Linked DNA regions of Oryzias latipes. The protein of the gene in region 1 purifies or fractionates together with the protein of each later gene. This does not show direct contact. Links are inferred from orthologs where the notes say so. Each region holds a gene or a part of one and is shown on either strand. Other genes may lie near its edges.

Region 1 (4,332 bases):
CTCCAGTAGTGAGTTCCCGGCAGGCATACAAATACTCTTCAAAATACGCATGACTCTTCAAAGATATCACATCCAAACCAGAACATCTGTGTCATTATCAATTATAGGATTTTCTAGAAAAACAAATAATTAACTATGTCCTAGTTTGTTTTAGACAGTTTAAAGTGAGTCGTGTGACCCCTCCACAGTAGATCTGATTCTCCTGATTCACATTTAAAAGTCTGGGACAAATCTAGGTCAGAAACGGACAGTGATTTTAAACGTGATAGCTAAATTCGCTTTGTATAGCTTCTTTTCTTTAAGGTAGCTGGTGAAGGTGACGCTGTTTATCAAGACTACACTTTCAGACAGTAATCCATGCTTTCATCAGAAACTAAAATGGATTACTGTAACTTTCAGAGTCAGCCTCTTGTCCCTTCCGCTTCTTTAAGTGGTCCAGAACACTAAAGAGGGACCACGTCGCCCCAATTGGAGCTTTCCTTCACTGGCTGCCAGTGCATTTTGGACGTTAACTTTAAGATTCTTCCGTTTCATTTAATTTTTTTTAATTAACCGTGCCTCTTTGAGCCTGTCTCTCCCTTCATGCCAGTCAGTGCCTCATGGCAGCTGACTGGGTTCTGATTAGAGTACAAAAGTTCAAGAGAAAGTTAAAGGAGGAATGGGCTTTTTCAGTCTGTGCACCAAAGGTGAGGAATGCCTCGCTAAGCGTCCTCACAGTCTATTTATAAAAAGCTTCTGAAAACTTTTATTGCCAGGCTTTTGCCCATTAGACGCTGCTCTGTTGGTGTGTTTTATTTTGACTGTGTTTTTATTTTCCAATATTATAAATATTTTACTATTTAACTTTTAAATTGTGTTATCATTTAAACTGTTGTTTTAATGTGTTGAGTTTCAATGAATAGCTCCTTGTTTTATACGGTCATAGTAAGACGCCATATAAATAAACTGACCGGTCTATTGCTATTACGCATTTAACCAGCAGTACATTGTTTCACATGTTCAGGTGAATTTTTTTAAGTTTTTTTTTTAGTTCTGTTAGATTTTTTACAATTAAAGACTTAAATTTGTATTCATTCATGTCTTTTATAATAATAATAATAATTCATTAGATTTATCTGTGCTTTTTCTTGGTGCTCAAAGCGCTAACAATTTGTCCATTATTCATTCACTCTTCATTCATACTTAATCATTCTTATAATATACTATATGCTACTTATCTGAAATCTGCTCACACTATTTTGTGACAGTTACAATATGAACTGCATATTATTCCGTATAGGCTGCAATATAAGTGTTTCAGTGAGGTGATCCATATAACTGCCGTAGTAATGCTTTCTTATACAAACAAAGCAAAGTGCCATAAATAAAGTGACAAATACAATATGGTCTTACTGTGAAACACAAATTGTGACCAACACATGTCCTCCTCGTGCTTTGACATAATAAAGATGTGCAACTAATTTAAAATATGCTGTAGAAATGTCTTCATCTTCATGGATATGCAGGGACATATGTGACAAAGAAGTGTTTAAAGTGAGATAAATATGTACAGTGTCTCTTTTATTGCTTACCATGACAGTGCAGTTCATATTTTTTAAGTAAATAATATGATTAGGTTCAGACTTCCAACACTATATGGTTTGATTGTTTTATGTGAACTAACTGAGGCATGTGTACAATATAATCATTGTCTTTTTGCATCATATCCCACTGGGATTAAAAACCTTATGACATATCACAACAACTTGATTTGCTAAGGGTATTGGTTTGCAGTTAAATCCTCAAAATTATCGTGAAAAGGTTTTCATTTACTACAGTAAGTTAACAGAAGTTAAGCAATAGTTGGGAAAGAAAAACTAAATGCATAAATAAGAAATAGAGGCTTAAGAAGAATTGATAGAAGTGCTTTCAAACATTGGATGTAAAAGTCTAAAATGGTGACTATTTGATGGTAGTAGACCACTAAATATTATTAAAATGCACGTTCCACTTTGGATCTTTTGTTTTCATTTGAACACATATGCTCTCTTGTTATGTTAGTGACATTTTTAGTAGTGTTGAAACCCATTCTCAAATTAGTGGAGTAAATACCCTGGGATATAAATTAAACTGAGTACTTTAAATAGGAAAGTACATATGTTTCTAGTCAATTAAATGAAGCTTAAGTACACAATTATTGATGATGTTAAATTTTAAAAGTGTTTAAGATGTTAGAATAGTAAAAGAGAATAGAGATTATCACAGTTCTAATACTATTATGTAAGTTGACAGAAAACAGGCAGCAGCTATGATGGGTTAGGAGTTTCTTGCCATCTGTAGAATCTAGAAGTATTTTTCTTAAATATTTTAATACTTTAAAACCAGTTGCTTAAAGCTAAAGAACAACTTTGGTTTTAAATTATAATCTTAAAATCTATAATATAAATTTGACATAATGTTTCTATTTGACACTGGCCTCTACCATTAATTTATTATAACCACAGGTAGTCGGTCACTTGTTTTTGTTCCTACAGAAAGAGCACAGTAACTGAGTCACACGGCGAATATAAACGTGTAAATGTATCAACATAATATATTTATAACGATTTCAAACAAGTTAGAGTTAACAATTAAAGCTACACCTTCTACTAGAACTGAGGCTTTCTTGCTACTACTAGCTAGCCTGCCAGCTCATCATTAATTGACGCTAAAATGGTAAAAGTCTTACCTCCACTTAGTTTGGGAATTCTGCCGATTTTATTTGTTAACTCGGCTGTAGTCGTTCCAAAGTCCTGCTCGTAGGATTCAAAGTCTGAAGACATTTTGACCAGTACGTTTAGGTAGCAAAGTAGCTCTAGGGCTGACAGTTAGCTCAAAATAATAACAAGCTTCTTCCTTGAGTCACACTAAAAGGTGTCCGGCTAGGAACTGGGTGTTCTGTTGGCGCTACTACTGAGAGAGGGTTTCGGAAAACTATCACGCCTATCTCTTTGTTGTGTTATTTAACAAAACATATATTTTTTCATTTTGTTTTAAATTTGATCTGACTGTTTGTAGTTGACGGATTTTCAATCCGAGACGCAACTAGGAAGGTTCTCAGGGCACATAGGGGAGGAAAACAAAAATCCGAAGTGCAAGTGGTAAGGTTAAACTAATTTAAAGTGACAGCTTATTTACTGAAACACTATTCAATGTGTTTATTTCTACGTAGCTTTACGTTCGTGTGTCATGTTTGATTCATCTTTCTTTTTTCGAGTTTGAAATGGTTTTCCTGTCAGTGCTGGTAGTGGAAGATGGTGAACGAGCTAGCTAACTAACCAACCTCACTTCTTCGCTACCTGCTGCATGCATCTACTCTTAAGCCGAAACATGTTTATCTAAACAGCCAAGCTAATTACAATTTTGCAAGATGTTAGTATGAATGTATGAATTCCTGATACATAGAGAAACTTGTTGGAATTAGCTTAAAATGTTGTTTTGAATTTGCTAGCTAAGCTTGACTTGACAAGCTAATTAGTTGTGCATGGAGTTTCTTCTTCTTTCATTCAAAGCTTCACCCTTCCAATATCTCTGTTTTTAAAAAACAATAAAACGTAATTAATTTGACCATTAAAAGTGTTTTCATTATAGTTATGTCGTTCTTTAGAATATATAGATTTCTATATAAAGATAGGAGTCAATATGTGACCCACAACTACCTGTTTTCCAGATAAATAGCACCTATTTTGCATATATAAAGAGGAAATATAGCCTTTTCTTTTAGCACTCTATGATAAATGCTTGTCCCCTTTTTTTCTCTCTTTCTCTCCATCAGATGGGTAAACGGACTCTCACAAGGTTCCTGTGCTTCAGGATTTGAGAGGGGAGCATGCTGCGCTCTTCAAGGGCAAGACACACCGGGACACGGAAAGGCCGGGTGACCACAGACCAGGGATGTAGTTGGATTCTTGAAAGATGAAAATAAAAATGTGTGCACTGCTGACTTTGCAAGATATAAGAAACAAGTAGCACACTCAGGCAGAGTCCAAACATTTCAGGTCCCCAACAAAAAAAAAAAAAAAAGAACATTTTCTTAAGCTTCCAGTGGGACGAATATGAATTTCCTTTCAGCGTTAGTTCGATTCGAGAACCTCCATGAGGTTCGAAGATTGTGCCACTGGGGCCCAATCATAGCCCTCTCTGTCATTGCTATATGTTCAACCATGGCAATCATAGACTCAGTCATCTGGTACTGGCCTCTAGACACCACTGCAGGCAGCATTAACTTCCTCATGCTCTTAAACTGGACTGTTCTTATCCTTTACAACTACTTCAACGCCATGTTTGTTGGGCCTGGATATATTCCTCTTGGCT
Region 2 (4,082 bases), on another chromosome or scaffold:
CCACAGTAAGTTTGAGGCTAAGGAAGTTGATAACCTCAGCTTTCAGTTCCAAAAACAGAGGTATGTTTCAGGGTATGTCAAGTTGCCATGGCAACTCATGCTCTGAACATAACCTGGTCTGGAGCAGGTTTAGTTGAAGGTTAGTTTGTTTTCAGAGAGGTGAAGCAGCATGGCGTGTCCATTTGAAGATGATTTAGTGGATGAAGAAGCTCAGATAATACTTTTTCCACAGTGAAATGGTGATAAGACCACATATGGATGTTGGAAAGATAAACTTTTTTACTTTGATCTAACTTAATTATGTGCTTCAGTTAAGAGAAATCATTTTTAAGTCAGCTTAAAAATAACACGTAGTTATCAGTTATTTTACTTTCATTCAAATTAATTCAATTAAGTAGGTGTAACTTTGGTGCTGCTGTTAGATCGGCACCGCAAGGGATTGTGGGATACCATTCACTTTGCCTGTCTGGACGGATTTGGGTTCAAGTGTGGTTTTTTGACAAAATGTGTTTAGTTGTTTAGCTGTTTTAATGTGTTTTACCAAGTTATTTTACCCTGTTATGTTTAATTCTTTCAGCACCATGAGGGAGAGGGAGGAAGAGGATCACGAGTTTATTTAGAACCTTTACTGCCCAGTGGAGGAATATTTAAGTCAGAGAACAGACTTCATAATGTGGTTCCATTTTGTTTCATTCATTTTATTGTTATAAAAATGAGAAAATCTGCAGCCTCTTAGACATAGGAGAGTTCAAGAATTGCAATAAATTAAGATTGAAAAACATTTAATTAAACTGGAGTAATATGATATTTAGTTAGATAAATATGTAAATTTGAGTTGTAAAAAGAAATATTGAGTTGGATAGACGTAAGAAATTAGGTTGAATAAAGTAATAAGTAATTCATTTAAGTTGGATAAGTTATATATATATATGCGTCACAAGAATAATAGAAATAAGATCAGAAACTATTGCTTTTACTTTGTCCGTTATTTTTCTGCAAGCAGAAACTCTTTTTTTTCCTTTTTTCTTTTGATGATGCAGCCGTGTTACTTTTTTGATGGGTTTATAATCTTCATACGCCGTCATTAATCTCAGACTCCGTCTCACTGAATTGTAGCGCTCTCTTTTTTTCACCACGCGTTTCCATGGTGACTCCGGAAATCGGTGATCCATTGAGAATGTCTTTATGTACTTGCTGTGCACGTGCATTAACCCAGGGTTACCAAGTCGAGCGTAATTACGCTAACTCATATCCGGTCTTTTGGAACCAACATACCCAGAGTAAGCAAGTTCAGGCGGATTTCAGCCAGAGTTCAGGATTAAAGTCAGGGTAGTTTTAATATGCTCCCTGGAATACCCCCCTGGTTATCCATGTCTGGGCGTCCTATTTTTATTTGGTGCACAGGTCGAGACGCCAAGATGGCAGCACGCACTCTGTCTGTCTGTTAGCGTCCTGTGAATGAATGAGTTTATTTTTATTTTTTCTTAACGACTTTTAAGCTATTTTAGATTATAATTTATAGTTGTTTCTGGCCTTTCTGAGAATGGTATTTTGTTTATCAATTACCGTGCTTGTTTTTAGAAAGGCTAGCTCCGAAACTCTGTGAGTCAAAGCCTACTCGATTCATTAAGACCCAAAACCAGGGTTGGTTCACTGATATTCGAAGGAACGCTCCATTTTTTATTTTTATTTTTTTTATTTTTATTTTTTATTTTTTCGACGATCATGAACTGTATGCGGTCATCATGAAGATTATCACCGGGTGATCGTCGCTGGATTCCTGGCGTGACTAACCTTGACGGGCCTTATACTTCATCAATTAAGGGAAGTCCCAATTTACCTTCTATCGAAGCTGGCGCACTATTGTATATATTTTTGCCAAAGTTGAGATGCTGATGCCGTCCTGCCTTCCTAGCACCTGTGTGATATGCCCTATCCGAAGCAGATCCAGGAGCGCTTGGCTGGTTGATGAGCTTGCTATCTTTGTGTGAAGGAAAGTGCTTGATTCAACCCTCGGATCGTGTGATCTATACCCATTTAAAGTTGAACTAAGCTTGGGCAGTAATTTCGCTCTTTTTGCCCGCAGCTTTCAAGCTCCGTGTTCCTTGCTGTTTGTGTGGCACGTCACGGGAGGACGTCTGACAAAAAACAAAACAAAACAAAAAAAAAAAAAAAAAAAAAAAAAACGGCTCTCGGTGTATCCCGAACTGGATTCTGGCAGATATCTGGACTGAAGGCTGCCATGGCCAAAGTTTTAAATACCTTCCTTCAAAGCCCCCGGCAAATAATATCAAGGGCTGAAATATTCTTCCTGCTAACATTGGCCTTATATTCCATCGGAGACTTTGGCATTGCCGTAGCTCTTCGGGAGTCAGATGACTCCCGTCCAGTGAATCCAGTGTGTTGTGTATTTCATGCTGGAACAAAAACTTTTATTCATGAATGTCATAATGCATACGCATCTGTGTGTCTCTCAGACAATCCAAATGAACTGCTGCACCTCAGCTGTGTAATGGTTCTTCAGAAGAATTTTACTATAAACTCTACTATAGCATTCTTAAAAACGTTCCCATCTCTAGGACCTTCAAATGCAGTATGTAAGAAACCACAACTTCAAAGACGCCTCATCTTCTTATTGTTGTTAATCTCCGGGAATATTCCACCAAACCCTGGACCAGATAGTCCTACTTTTAGTACTCCTGAAGACTTCAAATCTCGTAATGGTCTTGGATTCATTCATCTCAATGTAAGGAGTTTATTGCCTAAAATGGATATGATACGCATTTGGGCAATTTCAACTGAAGCAGATGTAATTGTTGTTTCTGAAACATGGTTAAACAAATCAATAACTGACTTTGACATACATATCAATGGTTATAATGTTTTTAGGGCTGATCGTCCCAAAAGGGGGGGAGGTATAGCCATCTATATCAAAACTAAACTTAATGCAAAAGTTCTTCTGCAAACATCAATGGCAAAGAAATTTGAACTTTTAGCTCTTGATCTGGAGATCTCTAATTCTCTGCATATTACCCTAGTTGGTTGCTATAGAGCGCCCTCTGCTGATGGCTCTGCTCTTCCCTCTTTAATGGAACTGCTGTCTTCCTTAAAATACAATGAAGTTGTAATAATTGGAGATTTAAACTGGAACTGGTTGCAAGCTGTTTCTGATGATTTTAAATCTTACTGTGATTCCCTGAACCTCTTTCAATTAGTAAATGATCCTACTCGACCTAACCCCAAATTTCCGGAGAAATCCTCGCTAATTGATTTGATTCTTACAAATTCTCCTTCAAAGTATTCAACTGCTGCTGTATTTGCAAATGATATAAGTGATCACTGTATCATTGCTACATCGAGAAACACAAAAATGCCCAAAACCAAACCACACATTATCATAAAACGCAATGTCAAGCAATTTTGTGAACAATCCTTTTGTCAAGAACTATATGAATTTGACTGGCACACGATGATGGAAATTGATAATGTTGAAAGGGCCTGGAGTTATTTCCATAATGAATTTACAAAAATCCTTGATAGACATGCTCCTATCAGGCACTATAAAGTGAAAGGTCGTAATAATCCGTGGTTTAGCTCAGATTTGGCTAACCAACTACATGAAAGGAATGTAGCATGGGCAAAAGCTAGACATTCTGATAATGCATCTGACTGGCTGGCATTCAGAAAACTACGCAATGCTTGCACTACTGCAATTCGAAATGTGAAATCTGACCATTTTTTGAAAAATACTACAGAAAATTTAAATAATCCCTCAAAGTTTTGGAAGATAGTTAAGTCCCTAAATGAAAATAATTCAGGTATTGAGCTCCCTTCAAGTATAATGAAAAACACTTGTAATATAACAGACAAGACAGAGATGCTTTTATGTTTTAATGAGCATTTTGTTTCCTCTGGATCATTATTTAATTCTATAAAACATTCAGCTGAGTACTCCCTCCCTGTGAATCACGAAGATTTAATACATAATTTCTCATTTTCCCTCTTCACAACTTCAGAAGTCTCAGAAGCCCTTAAACTCCTTGATCCTACTAAATCTGCTGGTCCTGATGATCTGGAACCAT

The links. Proteins that work in one complex are often made in the same cells at the same time.
Region 2: the proteins of vti1a (region 1) and vamp4 purify together in Homo sapiens (affinity purification with mass spectrometry; 4 studies listed by BioGRID and IntAct, counting the BioPlex papers as one, with this or other methods). This does not show direct contact. The link is inferred for Oryzias latipes from reciprocal best matches to the Homo sapiens genes VTI1A and VAMP4.

The regions. Positions count from the first base shown.
Region 1 is NC_019877.2:9,985,528-9,989,859, forward strand, and holds the start of vti1a (vesicle transport through interaction with t-SNAREs homolog 1A), read right to left. Parts: upstream 2,906-4,332; 5' UTR 2,802-2,905; coding exon 2,708-2,801; intron 1-2,707. Other genes in the region: palmitoyltransferase ZDHHC6, read left to right, coding at 4,074-4,332. UniProt on the Homo sapiens protein: V-SNARE that mediates vesicle transport pathways through interactions with t-SNAREs on the target membrane. These interactions are proposed to mediate aspects of the specificity of vesicle trafficking and to promote fusion of the lipid bilayers.
Region 2 is NC_019862.2:3,865,201-3,869,282, forward strand, and holds the start of vamp4 (vesicle-associated membrane protein 4), read left to right. Parts: upstream 1-1,281; 5' UTR 1,282-4,082. UniProt on the Homo sapiens protein: Involved in the pathway that functions to remove an inhibitor (probably synaptotagmin-4) of calcium-triggered exocytosis during the maturation of secretory granules.